Rhinolophus ferrumequinum: one gene and its partners. The protein of the gene in region 1 interacts with the protein of each later gene in a pairwise test. Links are inferred from orthologs where the notes say so. Each region holds a gene or a part of one and is shown in the gene's direction. Other genes may lie near its edges.

Region 1 (7,368 bases):
GGATTGATTTGATACGGACATTAAAAGTGCAATCCGTTTGTGTTGGGCTTTGCCACAGAGATATTTTGAAAGCTATATGCCAGTGCAGTTTGGCTATATCCCCTTGCTCCCTCCAAAAACAACTCACCTCACTCTCACACATACGCTCAGTACACACCTGGAAAGGGCAAGAGAACCCTTCCTGAGCCTTTGTGTCATGAGCTCTTATCCCTCAGGACTGACCTGAAGCTGGAAAAACAGACCAAAATCCCCTTGCAGTGCTAGAGGTAGAAAGGCTGCAGGGAGCGGGGTCAGGCAGCTAGTGAGCTAATCCTCCTGTCTGTTTCCTCCTCCCCCAGGTGTATCAGTCACCTCCAGTAACACGGGCGTGCCAGATATCTCGGGTTCTGTGTACTCCAAAACCCAGGTAGGTGCCTGGCTCTGGGTACAAGTGGAAAAAGAGAGGTGGACGTAGAGGAGGTGGAGTGGCAATGACAAGTCCAGGGAGCCGGGACAGCCCTAGGAGAGGTGTCAGGAAACCCACCCTGCTAGAGAAGGATGGTTTAGACTTCGGTTGCTTGAGAAAGTTTAAATTTAGCCATCTGGGGAAAAAACGAGAAATGTTATAGGGAGGTATGAGGTGTGGAAAATTGTGGTAATTGTGTCATGTGATTTGTGCAACTGTCCTGGCCCTTTACTTACCCACTCCCAGCCTTTTCATAACTTTCCGAGAGAACGAGTGGAATGAAGGGAAACTAGTTCATTGCATTCTTTGTAAGTCTCTCTCTGAGTGGGAAAGGAGACGACTCAATAAGTAGGTGAGGCAGTTGAATTATCCACAGATTTGTATTGTGTTGCTTTCTTCTCCCGCCACCATAAATAATTAGAAGTTTGGTAGGACATATCAGGAGGAGTCAGCAGATTTCACTGTGTACCTGTACGTCACGTTAGATTTGATAAGAGTGCTGTCACCTCCATCCTCTCATTCAGTCCTTACAACTGAGAGGTCGGCAGCATCCCTGTTTTATGTATGAGAACACGAGGGCTGAGAGCTCACACAGCTATTACAGGGCAGGGCACTGTTCTTCTGTGACACCGAGCTGCTTTCTGAGGGTGGGAGAGCTTGGGCTCAGAAATTCCAAGGGTCCATTGGCTGATGCCTTCTCTGCTCTCTCTCCCGTCCTCCCGGACAGCAGTCCTTTGAGAAACAAGGTTTTCATTCCGGTACTCCTGCTGCCTCCTTCAACTTGCCCTCAGCCCTAGGGAGTGGGGGGCCCATCAATCCGGCCACAGCTGCTGCCTATCCACCGGCCCCCTTTATGCACATCCTGACCCCCCATCAGCAGCCGCACTCCCAGATCCTTCACCACCACCTGCAGCAGGATGGCCAGGTAATAACCCTCCCTCTCTCCTCTCCCTTCCTCTTCCTTCCTATCCCTTAAAGCTGCCTCCCCTTTCCTTTTCTCACCCTTCCTCACCACCACCCTCCACCCAGTCCTCCCCAGCGCCAGCCATGGGCACACAGCACATACAGACACGAGCGCACATAACACGAGTGGCCGGCAAAGGAGATAGCAGAGAAGGGGCCAGAGTGAAACCCTTTTTGCCCAGTTCCTTTGGGGCCTTTCTCCTCCACCTCCTCCCGTAGCACAGCTGTCCTCCTCCTGTCAGACCTGGGTCACACCTCCCCTCTTACCTCTCCCAGCCCTCCCCCTCCCTCACATTATAGCTTTCCCTTCTAATGGTGGAGTTCTCTTGTCAAAGTTTGTCCCTTTATTTTCCATATATCCTGGTTCTGCCTCAGCTACCATATTTGCAGATGATTCTCTGTTGCCAGCGCCAGCAGGAGGAGCAGGTAATGAAACTGAATGATGATATGCTTGAACCCACTCCTTTTCAGCCCCCATTTCACCATCACAGCCTCAGGGAACTTGAAGAGAAAAGATTGCACAGTCACACACCGGGACACACAAACACAAACACCTTGCTGAGCTCTCTGGCCTCCCATTCCTCTCTTGTCCTCCCCTCCTCAATGCCCTCTTTTTCTTTCCACCCTTCCCTGACTCTGGAAACACTTGGTTACCGGAATGGAAAGGATTCTTGGGGCAACATCTGGAGCCTGGGGCCTCAGACTGTCTCTCCTGCCTTGCCTGAAATGGGCTCACAGATGTGAAACGTGGTAGGGTGGGGAGCCACGGGGTGGTGGGAGTGACCTCTCCTCCACCCTGCTGGCTGGGGAGCTGGAATAAGGGCTTTGCTCTCAAAGACAGCTTTCCAAATTGAGGCCTTCCTGTGGGAATCCGTGAAAGGGAAAGCAATCAGCTGTGATCACTCATCTCGGAGAGGCCATGATTCTCTCTAGAGAGCAGCCTTTTCTCGGGGCGGGGTGGGCGGGTATTGAAATGAGTAGAACTGATGCACTGTCTCATCTCTAAAGGTATCTTGCCCTTCTTTTCCCCTTTCCCCTATTTAAAGGTTGAAAGTGCTTTGTTGTCAGGTGCGCTAGCAGTTGTACAAACCAGATTTTCTATGGTTCAGAAGGAAGCTTCATGGTAGTTTCTAAGCAAGGGGAATGGGAGAGCACGATGATTCCAACTCTCCACCTGAAGATGTCACAGATTTGTCCCACTAACTAGACACCTTTTTCCTCCCCATCATCCTCCCATTCCCCTGCAGACGGGCAGCGGGCAACGTAGCCAGACCAGCTCCATCCCGCAGAAGCCCCAGAGCAACAAGTCTGCCTACAACAGCTACAGCTGGGGGGCCAACTGAGGCCCTGACCCTCTCCTCCCGGCCCCATCTTCTGAGAGGGCTCCTCAGCCTGGCAACTGTGGAAACAACATCAGAGAGAAAGGAGTGGGGGGGTTCTGCTGCCCCCCACCCCCAGTGGCCCACCCCATGCCTCAGCTTCATGTCTGTCCATCCCCATACCATCCCCACTCTGTTCTATGTATTATAGAATTTGTATTTTCTCTTTTTTTTTTTTTTTTTTTGGTTCCTCTCCTTCCCCCTTGCATTCAAGATTATGAAACTTTGCTGTGGGCCCTGCCCTTCGTTCTCCTGTTCACCCTGGTGGTGTATGGGTGAGGTGGGGAGGGGGACCCCCAAATATATATCAGCCCAACAGCCCTATGTCTCCTCCTTTATTATTAGGAAACAAAACAGAACAACAAAAAATGGCGTCATGAATATGAACAGCATTGTCAGAATTAGTTGAAGTGTTTTTTTTTTGTTTTTTTTTTTGTACTGTGTCCTCAAATTTAATGGATTAATGTGTCTTGTATATATAAAAAGAAAACCTCTACCTTCAGCCTCTGCCCATTCTTGCTTCGTCTAGGGCATCCTCAGTCTCCTCGAGGACCAGCTTGGTGAATAAGTATTACTCTACCATCCAGGCCTCTAGCAGGCCCCGAAGGCAGTGGAATAAAACGAAATCTTCACCCTTTCACAACTCCTGACCTTAATGTGCTAGTGTCTTGCCCGAGGGGATTCCCTTCCCTTCTCCCCTAAGAATTTCACAGCCTGTTGCCTGGAAAGATCCATCACAAATCTTCATTTCCTCCCAAAACTGCTTCATCTGTGGCAGATTTCGGGCAGTAAACAGAGTGGGATGGCGGGTAGGGAGAGGATTAAGAAGGAGCTGAAAGAAATGGCTTTGTAGAGTCAAAGCGTAACTTGGATGAGTCCAGGCAAATGAACTGGAAAGGAGGGTACGGGGCGCTGTTGCTGGCAAACAAGCTTGGTTCCCAGCTGGAGGAGGAGGAGACCCCGGCAGTTCGCGCCGGCCAGCGCTTTCGTTCCCCAGGTGCACCCAACCTGGAGGCTGGGGTGGGAGAGGCTTTGCAAGTCAGTGACAGGGGAAGGGGGAGACTTAGAGCCCCGAATTCTTCCCTCCGAAGACTTCACTGTTTCCCTTGCTCCCCCACAAAGCCTTTATTCTGCTGGTTGCGCAGCCTGCCTGGAAGGAAAACACTCGATGACCAACTCCTTAGCGGCCGTAGTGAATGCGTGCGTCCCCGTGTCCATCTCAACCCTGGGGAACTCGGTACTAGAGGGAGCTTGATCAGATACTTTGTCCACCCCTGTTGGACGTGCGTCAGTCAAGAAACGGGCGAGGTGGCTTCAGGGGGAAGACTGGTGGTCCACGGGTGTGGCGAGGGCGGGACGGGGGCCCGTTCGTTTGCGCGGATGGGCTGCCCTCTGGCGGCTTGATCCGGCAACATCTATCGTCAAACCCTCGAAATACCTATCGGGTTCGTCGGCAAGAAGAATCGGCTTAGGAGGCAGGTGATCAGTGGAAAAGGAAACTTCACAACGCCCACACCCCTCACAGGAAGCAGGTGCGGCGCAGAGAAAGCCTCTCGAGTGTGAGACGACCGTCCGCCCCGCCCCTACCCACGTCCGCTTACGGTCGTTTTACGACAGTGTCCTGATCGCGGGCTTGCTTTCCGGCAGCGTAGCCTGACGCTCGTCAATTTCCGACCGTGTAGCGCAAGCTACCGCCAGGTGTGAATGGGCCCTGCGTGGGCTTGGGTGGTTCGAATCCCAATGCGGGAATGAGCCTCTTTGACCTCTTTCGAGGCTTTTTCGGCTTTTCTGGACCTCGGAGGTGAGACTGGGTCTGGGTCGGACGTGGGGTGGTCTTTTCGGGGGACAGCGTAGCGCAAGCTACCCCCAGGTGTGACTGGACCTCGGGTGGGCTTTGGTGGTTGAATCGCAATGCGGGAATGAGCCTCTTTGACCTCTTTCGGGACTTTTTCGGCCTTTCTGGACCTCGGAGGTGAGAATAGGTCTGAGTCGGACGCGGTGGGGTCTTCTGAGGGGACCTTGACCCCTAACACCCTGTTTCTGGAAAAAACATCCTCTTCCCCATTCCTTCAACTCTTGCGGAAAGGAGACAAGTCACAACATTGAGCACTCACCCCGAGAAGTAACCAAAGCGGTCGTTAAGAGGAGGAGAAACGGCAGCTTAAGCGTCTCCCCCATCTGGGGTGATGCAACAGGGCCCGGGGTGGGGAGGGAGACAATGGGGCTCTGGGTAAGAAGACTGTGAGCAAGTGAGCACGACCTTGGGAGAGGGGAGGAGCTGGGGGACGCTGGAGAAAAGCCGAGGGGAGGTGTCTGGGGGCAGCCGTGAGGTGAGGACTGACTTTGATTAAAAACTAAAAACCAAACCGCGATGGCCAGTCTTCTAACCCTCACCTCAGCTTCCTGGGCACCTGTTACCTTACACTTTGCCACCCATGAGTTGATTTTATGGTTTAAGTAGTGCTGAAATGTTGGTAGCTAATCTGCCTCCACCCCCAGCCCCAGAGATCCCTTTTTTGGAGGGATGACTCGAGATGAAGATGAGGATGATGAGGAAGAAGAAGAAGGAGCCTCCTGGGGCCATGGGAGCTCGAGGTTTGAGGGTCCCCAGCCCCCTGAGGACTTTGCCTTCGGCTTCAGCTTCAGCCCAGGAGGAGGAATGCGATTCCACGATAACTTCGGCTTTGATGACCTTGTACGGGATTTCAATAACATCTTCAGCGAGATGGGGGCCTGGACCTTGCCTGCCCGTCCTCCTGGTGTGTGGCTGCCCCTGAGGGAGAACCTGTGTTTTCTACTGGGGTGGTGGGTGAAATAAGGAGCCTGCAGAGTAGTTGGGGGGTGGGAAGTGAGAGAATACTGATGATTTCAAGGGGAGTTAAAAGGTCCCAAGTCCTTCCCCACCCCAGCATGCCTCCACCTGCCACCTTTCTGCAGAACTCCCAGGTCCTGAGTTAGAGATACCTGGAGAGAGACGGCAGGAAGGCCAGACGCTTCGGGACTCCATGCTTAAGTATCCAGATAGTCACCAGCCCAAGATCTTTGGGGGGGCCTCGGAGAGTGATGCAAGAACTGACTCCCCCAAACCAGCACCAGACTGGGGCTCCCAGAGACCTTTTCATAGGGTGAGTACATCTGGGCTTGAAGTGAGACCCCGTGGGAGACCACTGGAATAGTCCTTGTTGGAATCTGACAGACTTGGGTTGGAATCCTAGGCCCTCTACTTAGTGTTTTTATCTGTTTTCTATACTAAGCTTCTTGTAGGATTTTCTTTGGGGGAAAATGGGAATTCTGCTTTTTCTTAAAAAAAAAAAAAACAACAACAACACCGGTCCGTATGATGCTTGGACAAGGCAGGATTGTTGGGGGAGGACAGAAAAGTATCAGTTCAGGAAGGCTTTTTTGGAAGAAGGATAAATAGCTAGGAAGGAGAACGGGATGAGTAAATAAAGCTGCTGTGAATGGGATTCTCTCTCCTGGGGAAAGGTGGTTTTGGAACTTGAGAATAGTTTGGGTTCCTGTGATTCCTCAAGTTTCAGAGTGAAAGGTGTCATATCACCTACTTTGGCTTCTTCTGCAGTTTGATGATATGTGGCCCGTGACCCCCCATTCTAGAGCCAGAGAGGATAAGGGTGAGTCTGGAGAGAGAGGACATTACCAGCCCTCTGTTCTTCAGGAGTTCCCTCTGTTCTCCCTCCCTGAAGTTTCTTCCTGCCACGCTTGTCCCCTTCTTTTTCTTAGACGCTTTCTTTCCTGTTTCCTCTCTCTGCCCTTCTAGATCTTGATTCCAAGGTTTCCCAGGAGGGCCTCGGCCCAGTTCTGCAGCCCCAGCCCAAATCCTATTTCAAGAGCGTCTCTGTGACCAAGATCACTCGGCCAGATGGGGTGAGTTGGGAGAGAAGGGTAAAGGGAACCGGATGCCCTGGAAAGAGTGATCTAAGTAAAGAAAGCAGCAGACTCACCCTTAGTGACGTTAGGAATGTCGTGGGGGCTTTTCCTTGTAGACAGTAGAGGAGCGCCGAACTGTGGTGGACAGTGAAGGCCGGACAGAGACCACAGTCACCCATCAGGAAGCAGACGGCAGCCCTAGAGATGGTAAGTGAAGAGCGTGAATCAAAGTGATTCATCTTTTAGTTCCTTGGTACTTATTCTTCTACCCTTTAATAGCATTCCTCTCGTTTGCCCTGTGTCTTTCATTTAGAATGTCTGTGTGTATCACTTTCTTCCTTAGATCCAGAATCACCAACACCTCCAGCCCTGGATGATGCCTTTTCCATCCTGGATTTATTCCTAGGCCGTTGGTTCCGGTCCCAGTAACCTTGTTAACCCTCAGAGGCCTTCCAGTTCTTTCCACCTCCCACTGTTTGCTCACCATCAGTGGGCTTATTTAGCTTCTCCTCCTGCCACCTCAGGTTCTTGGGTGTGTGGAATAGTGAACTGTAGAACTGTGGGTATGTCAGTATGTCACTCACCCAAACTGACCAATAAAACCTTTATTTATGCTAATTCCTCAATCTTGGTTTTGTCAAGGCTGTTCCACTTTCTAGTACCATCCAGGGTTTCGCAAATTATCTTGACCCA
Region 2 (8,029 bases), on another chromosome or scaffold:
ATGAGCTAAGGCAGAGAGGGGATCCACTCCAGGCCACAGCACTCGGATCTCTGCTCTCCGAGGCCCAGAGCACGTGCCCAAAGTGCCTCCAAAGTGAAATGGGCAAAGGCCTTGGTGGGGTCTACATAGGCCCTGCCCACCTGGCTCTCGCCCTCCTCCAGACCTCACCTCCTACCCCTCAGTCCCTCCCTCTCTGGGCGACAGACTCGTGCCCTACGTTCATTAATCTGACCCCACGACCTGTGCTCAGCCTGGATCATTCCCTCTTCCTTCCCCAAGGAAGCCCCCACTCCCAGTTTCAGAGGAGCCCCTCTGTCAGATGCCCTCCCCACTCTCACCTCGGTGTGTGCTTTTTTGTTTTTTAATTTTTTTAGATAATTTTTTTAGTTTCCAATTATAGTTGACATTCAATATTATATTAGTCTCAGGTGTACAGCATAGTGATGTACAACATTTATATAACTTATGAAGTGATCATCCTGCAAAGTCTAGCACCCATCTGACACCATACATACCGTGCTTCCCCGAAAATGAGACCTAACCGGAAAACAAGCCCTAGCATGATTTTTCAGGATGACATCCCCTGCACTTAAGGCCTAAAGCATCTTTTGGAGCAAAACTTAATATGAGACCCGGTCTTATTCAGGGGGAAACACAAACACAGGAGCTATTACAATATTATTGACTGCAGTGCTTGAGCTATCCCCTCCATCCCCATGACGACTGTGTAACTACCAAAGTGTACTTCTGAATCCCTTCCCTTCTTCACCCAGGCCCCCAACACCCCTCCCATCTGGTAACCATCGAATGCTCTTTGTATCTATGAGTTTGTTTCTGTTTTGCTTGTCCGTTTATTTTGTTCTTTATTTCACATATAAGTGAGATCCTATGGCATTTGTCTTTCTCTGTCTGACTTACTTTACTCAGTACAATACCCTCCAGGTCCATCCATGTTGTTGCAAATGGCAAGATTTCATTCTTTTTTTGGGTGAAAACTATTCCATCGTACATACGTACCACCTTTTCTTTATCTATCCATATATTGAGGGGCACTTAGGTTGCCTCCACATCTTGGCCGTTGTAAACAATGCTGCAATGAACATACGGATGCACACATCCCCTCGAAGTAGCATCTGGGTTTCTTCAGATAAATACCCAAAAATGGGATTACTGGGTCCTTCTTTGTCTCTTGTTATGTATAGCCTTTGTTTCAAAGTCTATTTTGTCTGGTGTAACTATTGCTACCCCAGCTTTTTTTTTTTTCAATTCCCTTTTCATGCGATATCTTTTTCCATCCCTTTACTTTCAGTCTGTGTGTGTCTTTCGATCTGAAGTGAGTCTCTTGTAGGCAGCATATGTAAGTGTCTCGTTTTCTTATCCATTCAGCCACCCTATGTTTTTTGACTGGAGCACTTAATCTATTCACATTGAAAGTAATTGTTATAGATATGTCATTATTGCCATTTTTTAATTCATATTTCTTAAGTTTTTTCTTCTTCTTAACGAAGTCCCTTTTATGCTTCTTGCAGTACTGGTTTGGTGGTGATGAATCCTTCAGTGCTTCCTTGTCTGGGAGCAGCACGTGCTTACCTACTTCACTGTCAGCTCCCAGGAGAGTGGGAACCATGGCCAGTTTGGCTCACTGAATGGGCTTTCATGCTCTTTAGCTCCTTTTTTACTTATGGGTGAGAAGCCATGGGAGAGATTATTTCTTCACCTTTTTACTGAAGAGCCAGTGTCTCTAGGAAGGAGGACATTTTGAACTAGAAATCAAGTACAGTGAGTTTTCATTTTTTGGCTCCCATTCTCATATGAGCTCTCCATGGGACCTTAGGACCTTTTTACTTCTCTCTGAGCCAGTGTGCTCTTTTATAAAGTAAGAGTTTAATCTAGATGGCATCTGAGGTGCCTCCTTCTCCAACACAGCATCCTCTGGAAGACTAGCAAGACAAAGACTCTGGCGTCTGAATCCCATTTCGGCCACTTGGTCATCTTGTGCCCTTAGGTAGATGGCTTAATCCCTCCATCCAGACTTCCTCTTCTGTGAAGTGTGGTGAGAATGCTAGCTCACAGATCTGATAGAGGATTAAACAACATGACATACTACCCTGTGTCCCCGAAAATAAGACCGAGCCGGACCATCGGCTCTAATGTGTCTTTTGTAGCAAAAATTAATATAAGACCCGGTATTATATTATATTAGGCTCCTCACCTAACCACCTCAGCATCCTCAGCGGTGAATGGGACAGAAAGCACTTTGTCTCGTCCGAGAAGCGAGGCGTCAGCGACACAGTGCAGGGGACAGCTCTGAACTGTGAAGCCGTTTCCAAGGAAAAGCATCCACAAGGGTCTTTGGACCCAAGACCTCCGTGGTAACAGATTCCACTCACCCACCAGCACACACCTCATTTCGCACATCCACTCACCTGCCAGAACACACCTCATCTCACACATCCAATGCTGTGAATCATGAAAGAAAAATACTGACGCCTAGTAAAATGCCCACCACTGAATAAGTGCACAATCATTTCTTCTGAATGATTTAGGTAAAAATGACTCAAGAAGGGTTTTCGAGGCCTCCTGAGAGTCAACAGGTGGGCGCATGAAGCCACCCAAAGTCCCTGTCGCAGGACAGCCCCAAACCCCTAGGGGCTCCAGTGGAGAGCCACCTGGTCCATTCCTCTCTCCGTTCCCTGGAGAATGGTGGCCTGGTGCTGAGGCTTCCTCACAAGTCCACGTTGGTTCACACTCACAGAATAGTAGGCTCCCCCAAACCAAGCAAGGACCCCTCACCCACATTGCTCTTCCTTTAGAAACCATTTCCGGGTGGACGGGTGGTTCAATTGGTTAGAGCGCGAGCTCTGGGTAACAGGGCTGTCTGTTCGATTCTCACATGGGCCAGCAAGCTGCACCCTCCGCAACTAGAATGAAGTCAATGAGCTGCCACTCAGCTCCCCGGTGGCCAGATGGCTCAGTTGGTTGGAGCGCAGGCTCTCAACCACAAAGTTGCCAGTTCGACTCCCCCTGCAACTAGCAACGGCAACTGGACCTGGAGCTGAGCTGCGCCCTCCACAACTAAGACTGAAAGGACAACAACTTGCCTTGGAAAAGTCCTGGAAGTACACACTGCTCCCCAATGAAGTCCTGTTCCCCTTCCCTCCCGCCCCCCAAAAAACAAAAAAACAAATCCAAAAAAAACTATTTCCAAGAAGGTTACATGAAGGACAAAGTTAGGTAAGACCCCCAGACTCAGTTGTCTGTCTAGAAAAACATTTCAAACTCTCCTTGAAAAATTCCACTACCACACTGGGGAATTCTCTACAGCAGAGATGTGCCAATGGGCGAGATGGGTGTTGCCTCTGGTGGTGGAACCAACGGTATTTTCCCAGATTACCAAAGAGGTGCTACATCTCCTTTTCAGAAGCTAAACATCCTCACAGTTTCAACAGAGGCCTTCACCTGAAATGTCCTCCCTGTTGAAGTCTCAAACCAATAGTTTCATACGACCTATTTTTCCTTCAGTGAAACGAGGTGTTACAGTGATGACGATACAGGTTCCCAAGTGCGGAAGCCATCATTAGTGCTGGTAGTATTTTTGTTTACTTGCACCCCTCTCCATCACACCCCTCGTTCACAATGAGCTCTGCAACTGCTTCTCAGTAATAGTCCTCACAAGACCTCCGGGAGGCAGCATGACCAGCGCTAACACTTCTGTGTTGCCTGAAGGGGAAGCACAGACGTGAAGAGCTGGTTGCCATCACCGTCCATACAGTGATCGCACTGACACCAAGCTCTGCCCCCATCTGGCCCTACGTCCACGATGCCAGCTCTCTCTGTGGCCCTTGTCTTTGATGACTGAAACAGCAGATCTATAACCAGAGGACCTGGGCTGGGCACAGAATCAGAATTGGAGACTTTGTGCCTTGGATAGACCTTAATGACCATCTACCCAAATCCACTGTTTTGCTGGACAGGACCAGAGAAAACACTTTACCCAACTCACACAGGCCATTTACTCCCAGTCCGGTGCGTTTGGGCTTTTCATACCATGTTGCCATGCTTCACCTTTCTTCCTCCACGCTCTTCCATCAGTTTCCGTTGGTTAAAATTTACATGGCTTCAACTCCAACCAAGAAAACTGAAACATTTACATGCTGAGTCTGGTGTTCTACCACCTGACCTGGGCTGGCCTCAGAATGCTGAAAAAGTCTGATGCAGTGTCCTATTTTGAGTCCCTTCCTTTCCCCCCAAACTCTGTCCTTGAAGCTAGCCACTGGCTGCGGCGGGGCTCGGCCCACCCTCCATGAGTCTGCAGCTACCCTCACACACCTGGGGTCTGTCCTGGGGTTCTGGTGGAGGGACACTTAGCTGTAACATGGCCAGGGCAGAGAGCTCTCTCCTAAGCTGTCCCTTTGTAGGAAGTGGGTTGACGGGCTGCAGAGGAGCAAAAGGATGAGAACTTGTGTGGCTGACATCACTTTCCTGTCCTCTAACCTGCCCCGAGCAGGAGGTTGTCCCCACACTGATTGATTTATGCTTCTTCAAGCAAACCCACACCTTAGCTGCCAAGTACCTATCAATTCATACTTAGTTGTGGGGGCCATAAACAAATTAAGCCAAAACTCAAACTACAGCTCCTAAGCTGCTCTCCAACCCTAGTACCCATAGTTCTGATTTTAGCAGTTCTCCTTCCTCTCTCACCATATATTTTTAGAAACTTGTTACATTTCCTGCTTCTCTTCCCTTTCTCTAAAACTGTGTTTATAACTGTTTAGAGCAAAACAATAAATAAATGAACCAAGTCAGAAACTGCAGGAATATCTGCAAATAACATTATCAAGTTTATAATCTGTCATTTGGCCAGTATAAGGTTGAATGAACGTAAAAGAAATGCAAATCAGGATCCTTCCCTGTAAATTCCCATGACGCACCCTGGCCACACCCACTGCACAGAAGACAAAAGGCCCAGGAGCGGAGGCAGCCGCTTCTTCCAGCAGAGCCGACTCACCTCCCGGAACCGGAGTCGGCAAAGGTACTGTCCTGGTCACATTTTGGCTTTTAAAATATTTTTTGTTTCTCTCCTTGACTGTTATCTCTCAAACTGCCTTCTCTGAAGCTAAAGCCTCTTCCCTCCTGGTTCTGTGTGTGAGTTAGAATCACAATCGGATTTCAGAAAATGATCCTTCCTCTTGGTGGGAACTGAGGGACGGGGAACTGCTTCCACAGGTGGCCGGTGGTGCAGCCAAGCCTTCCCTCAGAGGGAACTCCACTTCCAAAAACTGCCGAGAGAAAACTGGAACTTCCCAAGTCTGCCTCTCTCTTGCATCTGAGTGAGGCAAATGCCTCCTTCTTGTGGGGTTTTTGAACTTAGCCAAACTTGACTGAGTGCCTACTGTGTGGGCACTAAGGGATACCAAAATTCTAAAAGAAACGTACAGTCTGCTAGAGGAGGCAGACACCTATGCAAATGGTTCAAGGGAGTGAAAAGAATGGGGAACATGCTGAATGTGGTTATGCCATGAGTTAAGTTGCCCAAGAAGCACAAAGCAGAGGTGGTTCCCCTCATAGGTGTCTGGTTCAGAGGTCATCAAGGCTGACAGCCGCTGGTGTTCTCCGTTGCAGAAGTCAAGATGGCCAAGGTCCCCGACCTCTTTGAAGACCTGAAGAACTGTTACAGGTAGGAAATGGACTGTGATCTGATGAGGGGACCCAGGCTCATTAGAACCCACCCAGCGAGGAGGTGCAGTGACCAGCATGGGGCCAGACCGGCAGACGCTATAGAGATGGTCCCACCTCCAAAGTCAGAGCAGGCTCAGCAAAGGCTTAGGGAAGCCAAGCATCCAGCATGTTAAACGGATGTGACGTTGACAGGAAGACGGCCATTACCAAAAACGTGTTTTTTAAGGCCTGCTGAGTCCTAGCGAATTTCAGCGTCTATTCATACACAGCCTGGGCTGGGTCACATGCTCGGTCTGGTACAGTAAGGGGTTCTAAAGGCCTCTTAGAGAGAGACCACCCTCAGGAAACTCCTTGCTCTCAATCTGGAGAGGAAAATGGCTCCACAGCAATCCGAGCACGCGGGAGCTCATACACACTCAAACCTAGTCAGATGTAAGAGGAACGTAAGTGAATAAAAGGTGTAAATTATAAAACACTTTCAACAACATGTTCTCATTACCTGCTTTACCTGCTAATATGCACTAACACACGCTCGGCCATCCAAGTGTTGTTTGGGTGTTTTGCCAGGTATAAATTACTAAATCCATTTTAGTGAGTACATGAAAGCAATGAGTAATGTAGTCTATTTGGTCAGAATTTAAATAAGGTGCTTCGGCAGAACTTTTCTCTTGAGGAGCTGAAATCCAATTACAACTCCTGTTTGTAAGCCAAGCACTGTTTCTGTTGATAAAGCACAGGTAAAGTTCAAGGCCTGTCCTGAAGGTGACTAATTCCAGGTCAGCGAGGTACAGATTACTCTATGTACGTATGTACAGAAGTCGTTCATTTTCAAAGATGGCAGGAGTGTCCGTGTGTGCACACACGTGTCCCAAAGCTAATGAGGTTATTAAAATACATTGCCTGGTGGCCATTGTGATCTAACAGAATGACATTCTCATCATCTTGTTTGACAGTGAAAATGAAGAATACAGTTGCGAAATTGACCAGCTCGCTCTGAATCAGGTAAGCAAATGGCTGCTTCTTAGGGTGGCTGTTCTGACAGTCATATTTTCTCCACGGGAGGACAGCAGCTATGGCTTCAGTCCCATAGGCCTCTGCTGTGCCATCTCGAGATGTCCGGAGACATGCATGTCTTCATTATAAGTGAGGCAGACAGGGCTGATGGCATTCTCCACACTTGCCGGATTTTCCCAGAATAGAGCACAACTACCCTGCACCCCAAGGACTGGAGTCTCCCTGCTTCATCAGATGCTAGTTTGCCACCCTGAGACAGAGCCTTCGGGCCACTTCTCCAGGGGTCTGTCACCTAAAGATATGTTCTGGTCATCCTCTCCGATGCCAGCTCCAGACATCAGAGACAACCCTCCAACGTAACAGCCCAGGAAGCCGAGGTGGACCAAGCAGGCCACTCACAAGTACTCCTATGTGTCTTTGGTACTGGCTCTAAAAGCCATTCCCAGAGGAGTATTTCTAACATGTCTGAGCCCTGTCCTAAGCCTAACTTCCTAAGGGGGAACTATTGGAGAGTCTCAATGTTAGCCTGTTTCACTGTATCTCATTTTTGAGTCTGCAGATAAATGACAAAGACTGGCCAAGAGATGGTATCCTTCCAGGGAAATGCTAGGAGGGAGGAGGAGGGGATGACTGAAGAAAGGTGGGTAGCCGAGACCCCACTGGCGATCCTTCTCACTATGCCCGTTGAATAAAACTCCCACAAAAGGAGTCTCATCCTATAGCCACAGACAGCCTCTCAGTCTCCACCTCCCTTCCTCACAGAAATCCTTCTACGACGCAAGCTATGACACACTTCATGAGGACTGCATGGGTAAATTTACATCTCTGAGTACCAAGGAGACCTCTAAGACTTCCCAGTTTACCTTCAAGGAGAGCGTGGTGGTGGTGGCAGGCAATGGGAAAGTTCTGAAGAAGAGACGGCTGAGTTTCAACAAGGTCCCCACTGATGACGAGCTGGAAGCTGTTGCCAATGACCCAGAAGAAGGTAAGGGGCCATGTGCCGTGATATCCTTGTTTGCCATTTTTAAGCAAATGGGCACAATAGAGTAGAAGGGCAAATAAAACCTAGAATCAGGGTGACAGGGCAGCCAGGCATTAGTCTAGTAACTATCAGGAAGGAAAATTAATTTCTATGCTGCAATGGGGAGAAAGCAGCCTGGCCTGGGTCTAAGATACTTGCTCACATGCTCATTTCACGGCCATACTGTAAAGGTCATGTGACTTCGAGCCCTTCAGCAGGAAATGGTTACACACTGTTGGCGGGTGACACTGACAAGCCATGTTGCTTCTCATGCTAACTGTGCCTCATTGGGAAAGTTACTGACCTTTCTGTGCT
Region 3 (7,390 bases), on another chromosome or scaffold:
GCAGTGAGATGCTAGTATTACAAGGCTTGTGAAATTCCAACAGCTATTGAAGAAGGGGGAATATTTTGTCTCAATTTCCACTTGGGACTCTTGAAGATCATCTTTGCAGGGGCTCTTTGCATCAGCATGGAACTGCCAAAGCAGAAGAGAAATAGTGGCCTGGCTTGTTTAGGCAGATGGAGGAGAGATGGGGTTTCTGAGTATCCGTTGACCCCCATGTGGTGTGGAAGGGATACAAGTGTTTCCACATTAAATATACATCAGTAGGCCCCTCCCCCCATAATGAGAGCCCTAAGTAAATTTTTACTGAGTTGTTTTTTTTTTTTAAATCTTACTATAAGCCAAGTAAAAATGGAAAATTGCAAAGAGTAGTTCAAAATAAAGTCGAGTGGCTGAAGGTAAGACATTTTGGAAGATAAAATTTTGTAGGTCTAGAGAGGCAAAGTCACAGAAAGGCCTATAAGGACAGCCAACTGAAGTCAAAGGCTAGCATTGCCAAGAATAAAAGACTCATTTTGGCTAGTTATCAAGGCTTCAGAGGACCTCTAAATCCAGGCAATTAACAGCACATAGGAAGAAGAGCTAAAGATTAGGGAAACCAAATTTCCCAGCTTAACTCCTTTTGAACAGACTTATTATACTAATTCTCTACATTATTTGGGAGGAGCGGCAGAGGGGGAGAGGGGAGATGATTCATAGTGGAGATTGGGAACCAAACTTAGTTGCTAATATTATATGAAGCATTTATATTTTCAGAGCTGTGTATACATCACGCGTCCTTATCCTTCATAAGAAACAACTAAAGCGTCTGCCTAAAAGGACGCTCAGGAATGTATCCTCCCAGATTTTACGAGCAAAATTTTGGAGGCTTGAATAGCCCTAGATTCTAGCATAATTATTATTTCTTCCTGATATAAAGATTATTTTGCTACATGACCAAGAAGAGTGGGTCGGAGAGTAGAAGTTCCTCTCCTTTTTATTTATTTTGAAGAAGCTCCATAACATAGGGCGTATTTACATTTGATTCTTTCTTGGACAATCCTTTATTTGATAATTCTTTTAAATTTTACACGATTCTAGCAAGAAAAAGTAAAAACAGTGCAAGAACCTTAGCTCTCTTTGAAAGTAGTAATCAGGCATGAACTTTTATTTTACACTAATGACGACTATATAATGCTAATAAGTTAACACTTGCTTTAACGGTTTTTTAAATGAAAACACAGCAATAAAGATAAATATTTTTAAAGAAGGGAAATAACCTATATGCTTATTATCCTACTAGGGTAACTTTTTTATTTTTGTGTATTTCCTTCTGCCTATATGGTACAACACTGTAAGCTGAAAGGCACTTTGGAATTCAACTAGTCCAATTTCCTCATTTTCAGATGAGAAAATTAAGGCCCAGAGAGCTATGAGGTTAGCTCAGATTAACACCTTACTGCCTCCTTTAAAATAAATTTTAATGCTAAATTAAGAAAAAATAGTTGTTGATAAGACATGAGTAACTCCCTGTCACTTTTCTCCACTGAGAATGCAACTGCAAGGGAAAAAAAAATATTTTTTTATTCTGCAATATATATATATATATATATATATATATATATATATATATATATATATATATAGTATTAGCCTACCAAGAGCAATGTTTGGAGAACTGTAGCTGCAAAATCTGGATTCCTTAATAAAAACCCCCAGAAACCCGGGAATTTCTAGAAAACAGATGTGAATTCAAAACGTCTGTAGGTAAGGATTTGGATTCCAAGTTCACATATTGCTATGCTATGCATTGCTACTGCTGATGCAGATTGTTGATTCTGGAATGCACACTGTTTGATAAAAAGGCAAATTATAGCTCTTAAAAAGAGCATCTAATTGAGGCTTTCTCTCTGCTGTAATTCAAATTAAAATAGCATTGAAAAAAGGAGTACTTTGTGGGGAACATGGATGGCTTTCAAAACAACTGTGTTAGAAACACTCTGGACTCACATTAGTAGAATTCTTAAAGTGCCAAAGCAGAAAGAGGCCCAAAATGCAAATAGAAAACTCCAGTTCTGAGACTAGTCTGCCACTAGCCAGAAATATAAGGGAAATATTTAATTTTTCTAGTTTTGTTTCCACATCAATGAGGTTAGCCTACCTGATTTCAGAATTCTTTTCTAATTATAAAATTCTGTTTCTTTCCCCCATGAATGTGAAAAGTATCCTGTATTTCAGTTTGTGGGAAAATCCCAGGTGTGAAGAGCTGGCTTTATTAACAAGGTTAGGACCTAATATCCTTTTGTTCTCTTATCCTTCTGAGGTAAGCCCTGGGCAGAAACCTGGCACTTAGCTGGCATCCCCTTCCCTCCTAATCTCCTGTCTTCATACTCTAACTATAATAAAACCCTATTGTCTCTTCATCTGTTTCGTTACTCTTTCTTCTCCAGGCACACCAGCACCAGTTTACCAGTACTGGTCGTCATATCTGAACCACAGAAACAAGTAACTGCTTTTCTAATGTTCCTTTCAGAGTACAATTTATTGTATTCTATGGAGCTCCATTCTGTTCTACCAAGATTGGCGGGAGTGAGAGTGATCCTTGAGTTCTCTCATACTCTGTATTCAATCTGTCAGCAAATCCTGTTGGCTGTTTTTGTATGTCCAAAATCTGACCACTTCTCATTATTTCCACTGCTGCTACCCTGGTCCAAGCCAGCAATAGCTTCTGACTGATCTTCCTTTCACCCTTGTTCCCATTGAGTCTATTCTCAACACAGTATCCAAAGCGATCCTTTGAAAACATTAAGTTAGATGGTGCTCAAAGTGCAATTCCTTACAATGAATGACCCCCTCTAGGTTCCCTAGCCATTGTTACCTATCTAACTTGATTTCCCACTACACTCTTCCTCTGCTCCAGCTACATAAACCTTCCAGCTACATAAATCTGCTAGGAACATGGTGACTTGCAGTGACTTTGCACTTGCCTGGAATACCGTTCCTCCAGATAGTTGCTTTGCCAATTTCCTCACGTGGTCATTTAACGCCAGTGTCTCCTTCTCTGGTCATTCTATCACACTAAAGTCGCAAGCCCTCTTTTTGTTTTATTTTCACCTCAGTACTTATCACTATGTACAGATGTTTTACTTATTTTCCTTTTTTGTAGTCTCTCTTCCCACAAGAGTAAGGATTCATGTCTGTTTTTATTGTTACATCCCAATCAGTAGTATAGCGCCTAGCATAGTAGGTGCTCAATAAATTTTTGTCCGTTACTGAATGAATTGTGAGAACTCTGTACCAAGGGAGCATAATAGCATGCAAAGATGGAGACAGACACTAGGTAAAATGTTTGTTCATGGCAAACAGATTTTTGACCATCATCCTAATACTGTGTAGTAAAAAATTCCTTGCCTGTTAGTTGTTTTACATCTCTTGTTAAGATGTTTTTGATCTCAGGGAACGCTTTCTCCAAAATCAAAGACTTAATTTGGTCACTAAGGGCTGGATCCCACCTTATTTTCCAAATGTCACCCTGTACATTTGACAGCTCTTCTAATTTATATAGAAGGAAGGTCTATTTTAGATTAAAAATTGCAGGTCTTGACCTTTAATGCTCAAAATTCTCAAAATTCTAAGACTGTAATATTTAACTCCAAGAGGAAGTTTGTGGCAACTAAGTATAATACTAGTGATGATTAAATAAAATATGCTTGTATCAAATTTATCTTAAATAAGAGGTAGTAGAAACTCCATTTTGGGTTTTTCCCCCGTTTCTTCCCCTTAATGAGAAAGACACACTACCTGGTACCCAGGAGATTATAGATTTATATTTGTTTAATTAGTATTGGACAGATGAATGTTTTCAACAAAGAGGCATCTAGACTTTTTTTGGTGCAGCACCAGCCTGGGGGTTGTGGTCCAACTCTATTCTCATTCTGCGTTATGAAGGACCTGAATGTCCCAGCCCAACAAACTCCAAGAGGGACGTCTGCACTCAGATGACGGGAACACGTCTCGGAGAGCGTCACCAGCTCCCTCAAAGTCCTGGTGAAAAAACTCTGTGGGACGAGGGAGCTCCACTGCGTGCGCTCACGACGACCTCCCGCGATCAGTCTGGTCATCTTCGTACTTGTCCTTTCCCATCCTCGGGACCTGCCCCTCACTGAGGTGTGAATCGACCGCTGCTCCTCGGGGCGGCTGTGGGACCAGCCCGTTAGCTGGGAGTCAGGCCCGGAGTCCCGCAGCCGGAGCCGCGCCCCGGAGCTGGGGTGGGGGAGGGGCGGTGGCGGCGCCTGCGCTGCGTCGAGTTTCCCAGAATTCCCAGCGGCCGCGGGGAAAGTTTACGGGACGTAGGCGGCGGCTGCGGCGGCTGCGGCGGTAGCGGTAGAGGTTACTAGGCGGCCCGAGGCGGACCGTGGCCCTGGCCCGGCGTCCCTGGCCTCTCCTCACGGAGTCCTCGGGCAGCGTTGCGGAGCGAGCAGACTTCCGGGAAGGAACTGACAAGCGACTGAGCGGCGACCGGCGCGCATAGCGCCCCGAACATGCGGCAGTTCCTGCGGGCGACCCCGGGCTGCGGAGAGGCGGCGGCGGCGGCGGTGGTGGGAAGGAGGCGCCGGCGCCGGCGGAGGTGGCGGCGGGGACGGCCGGCGCCCAGCGCGGAGCCCTAGGGAGGCTGCTTGGCGCGGCCTGGAGCCTCGTCGACCAGGATGCTGTCCCGAAAGAAAACCAAAAACGAAGTGTCCAAGCCTGCCGAGGTGCAGGGGAAGTACGTCAAGAAGGAGACTTCGCCTCTGCTGCGGAGTAAGTGTCAGGGCGGGTACACCCCATACCTGTCCCGAGCGGCCGCGGCTCCCCGCGCCTTTGCATTCCTGCTGGTCTCTGTGAAATACTGTTGTTGTGATTTTAATTTCATTATGTCTGAAGTCGTGTTTGTTCTTTGAAACTGACATAGTAAGAAACTTAGATCAGTCCCCCTCCTCTACAAGCCCCCCACCCTCCCAAAAAAAAAATGACAAACTTCCCTGCTCTCTTAAGGCAGTGTTCGTTTTACTGGAAGAAAGAGGCTCTTTGGGGGGAAACACTTAAATTACTGATCCCCTGATGCTATAGGAGTAAAAGTAATTAGACCGGGGCACACTTTTTCCTCGTCTAGATACGTCGAGATATGCCTTGTGTTTGCAAACATTGTGGGTGTCACTCGCCGGTGCTTGAAGTTGTGCAAACTCTTGGGTAGAAAGAATTCCTAGCTCTGCTGCGGGATGCAGAACTCGAGGAGGTGAAAGCTGACCATCTCTATTGTAGCTGCTATCCAAAGCCTTTTCAATCTTAAATCTCAGAGTAGAGGAACCAAAATCGTCTGTGTTTGGTGTTCTCATATATTCATGAGAATTGCTTCAAATAAAAAACCCAAAAAGACAAAGTACTCAAAATTATTTCTGTCATATTTTAGGAGAAAATACCAAAAAGTTTGTGTATTTTTTTAACTTTAATAGGATATATTTTGAAGTTTTTATTCTTGCCGTGTGTTCAGAACATTTGTGAGGTAAGGAGCTAGTATATTGGTGCTCATACTGCATGCTGGCCCTTTGTGTAAAATTTCCTTCTTGGAAGCTTGTGGTAACCTTGTGACTTAATCATTACCTCATTATAATTGGGAAAGCTGTTCATAGAGTTCCTAGTATTTGCCTAAGATCACACAGAAAGGGGTGGAGGGCATGTTTTTCCATTATAACCAACCACATCATCAGCCTTCCAGATTTATCCTGTATTTCCAGTGCTTTCTTATAGAACAGCAAACTAGATCAGATGGGTACATCAGTAACCTGAAACTTGATTTTTTAAACCTTTTTTTTAACAATTCGTTTTTGAGTTACACATTCGTTTTTGAAAGGCTAAGTTTATGATAGCTTGCAGTTTGCTGCAAATAAAGTTTATTAAATTTCGCTTGATATTAATTAAATATCGCTTGATAATTATGATTCTTGAAATCATAAAATATGTTTGCTATACTCTTAAGCAAGTAACTTGATACAGTATTTTAGTTTCATTAAGTGGTGAGCCTTGTTTATTTGGATATTAATTTCTGTCTAGAGTTTGCTTCTGAAGCTTAATATGAATGCCCTCAAAATTTGTCTCCAAATCTAGTTTTCTTCATGTTTTAGGGTTATTTTGCCTTCTAACCAGGAATGTCTAAGCTATTTAAGTATTCCGAAGTACTATATCCTCAAGAGCCATTGTTCTACTGTTATCTTCTGTTTTGAATTATAATTACTTATTCTTAAAGGAGCCATAGTTTCAGATTTGGCCGGGGTTTTTTTTAAAACAAATTCAACTTTTGTGTGACTGTGAAATTTTTTTATTTTTTTATTTCTATAGCTATATTTTTGGCTTTCCAGGTTTTGATTACTGTACTAGTGCTACGTCCAGGAGTAGAAAGACCAGGTTAATAATTTTAAAATGTTTTTAAAGAATTCCCCTTTATATGTTTGGGAATAGCATATGTTCTGTTTTTATTTTTGAAATTGTGTTTGTTTTGAAGAAGGATTTTTAGGAATTTTGAAAATGATGTTAAATCAATAAAACAAGCTATTATCTTAAATTATGCTGGTAACTATCCATTTATTAGATTGTTTTCTATTTTTACACTTTATTCGTATTTCATTAGTATGTGTTTCATAGTTAAGCTTATGGATATTTCATGTTATGTATGGTTATAAGCAGAATACATTTGATTCTACACATTTATGATGAGATTATAAATTTCATTTGAGTGGAAATATGTTAATCAGCTTCAATTTTAAAATATCCAAGTACTATCTGAAATCACAAATTTTAATTGTGTTTTCTTAAGTCTGTTGAAATTTTGCATTTGGGGGTGATAAATGTAAATGAACAACTTTGAAAAAGTGTATTTGTTACTTATTGAAGTGGTCATTTTATTCTTTGTTTCATTATAGATCTCATGCCTTCATTCATCCGGCATGGTCCGACAATTCCAAGACGAACTGATATCTGTCTTCCAGACTCAAGCCCTAATGCCTTTTCAGCTTCTGGAGATGGAATAGTTTCAAGAAACCAGAGTTTCCTTAGAACTCCAATTCAAAGAACACCCCATGAAGTAATGAGAAGAGAAAGCAACAGATTATCTGCACCTTCTTATCTTGCCAGGAGTCTAGCAGATGTCCCTCGGGAAGATGGCTCTTCTCAGTCATTTTTAACAGAAGTTAATTTTGCTGTTGAAAATGGAGACTCTGGTTCCCGATATTATTCAGATAATTATTTTGATGGTCAGAGAAGACGCCCACTTGGAGATCGTACACATGAAGACTACAGATATTATGAATACAACCACGATCTCTTCCAAAGAATGTCACAGAATCAGGGGAGGCATGCTTCAGGTAACTTATAATTA

The links.
Region 2: the proteins of HAX1 (region 1) and IL1A interact in binary tests that used the Homo sapiens proteins (3 or more experiments, as listed by UniProt). The link is inferred for Rhinolophus ferrumequinum from reciprocal best matches to the Homo sapiens genes HAX1 and IL1A.
Region 3: the proteins of HAX1 (region 1) and SAV1 interact in binary tests that used the Homo sapiens proteins (3 or more experiments, as listed by UniProt). The link is inferred for Rhinolophus ferrumequinum from reciprocal best matches to the Homo sapiens genes HAX1 and SAV1.

The regions. Positions count from the first base shown.
Region 1 is NC_046305.1:52,944,895-52,952,262, forward strand, and holds HAX1 (HCLS1-associated protein X-1), read left to right. Parts: upstream 1-4,333; 5' UTR 4,334-4,535; coding exon 4,536-4,588; intron 4,589-5,286; coding exon 5,287-5,546; intron 5,547-5,724; coding exon 5,725-5,912; intron 5,913-6,367; coding exon 6,368-6,419; intron 6,420-6,565; coding exon 6,566-6,672; intron 6,673-6,791; coding exon 6,792-6,882; intron 6,883-7,018; coding exon 7,019-7,104; 3' UTR 7,105-7,301; downstream 7,302-7,368. Other genes in the region: UBAP2L (ubiquitin-associated protein 2-like), read left to right, coding at 339-406, 1,173-1,370, 1,784-1,834, 2,656-2,751. UniProt on the Homo sapiens protein: Recruits the Arp2/3 complex to the cell cortex and regulates reorganization of the cortical actin cytoskeleton via its interaction with KCNC3 and the Arp2/3 complex. Slows down the rate of inactivation of KCNC3 channels. Promotes GNA13-mediated cell migration.
Region 2 is NW_022680356.1:82,979-91,007, forward strand, and holds the start of IL1A (interleukin-1 alpha), read left to right. Parts: upstream 1-4,957; 5' UTR 4,958-5,032; intron 5,033-5,622; 5' UTR 5,623-5,630; coding exon 5,631-5,677; intron 5,678-6,632; coding exon 6,633-6,681; intron 6,682-7,455; coding exon 7,456-7,678; intron 7,679-8,029. UniProt on the Homo sapiens protein: Cytokine constitutively present intracellularly in nearly all resting non-hematopoietic cells that plays an important role in inflammation and bridges the innate and adaptive immune systems.
Region 3 is NC_046289.1:41,598,928-41,606,317, forward strand, and holds the start of SAV1 (protein salvador homolog 1), read left to right. Parts: upstream 1-4,305; 5' UTR 4,306-4,685; coding exon 4,686-4,779; intron 4,780-6,935; coding exon 6,936-7,376; intron 7,377-7,390. UniProt on the Homo sapiens protein: Regulator of STK3/MST2 and STK4/MST1 in the Hippo signaling pathway which plays a pivotal role in organ size control and tumor suppression by restricting proliferation and promoting apoptosis.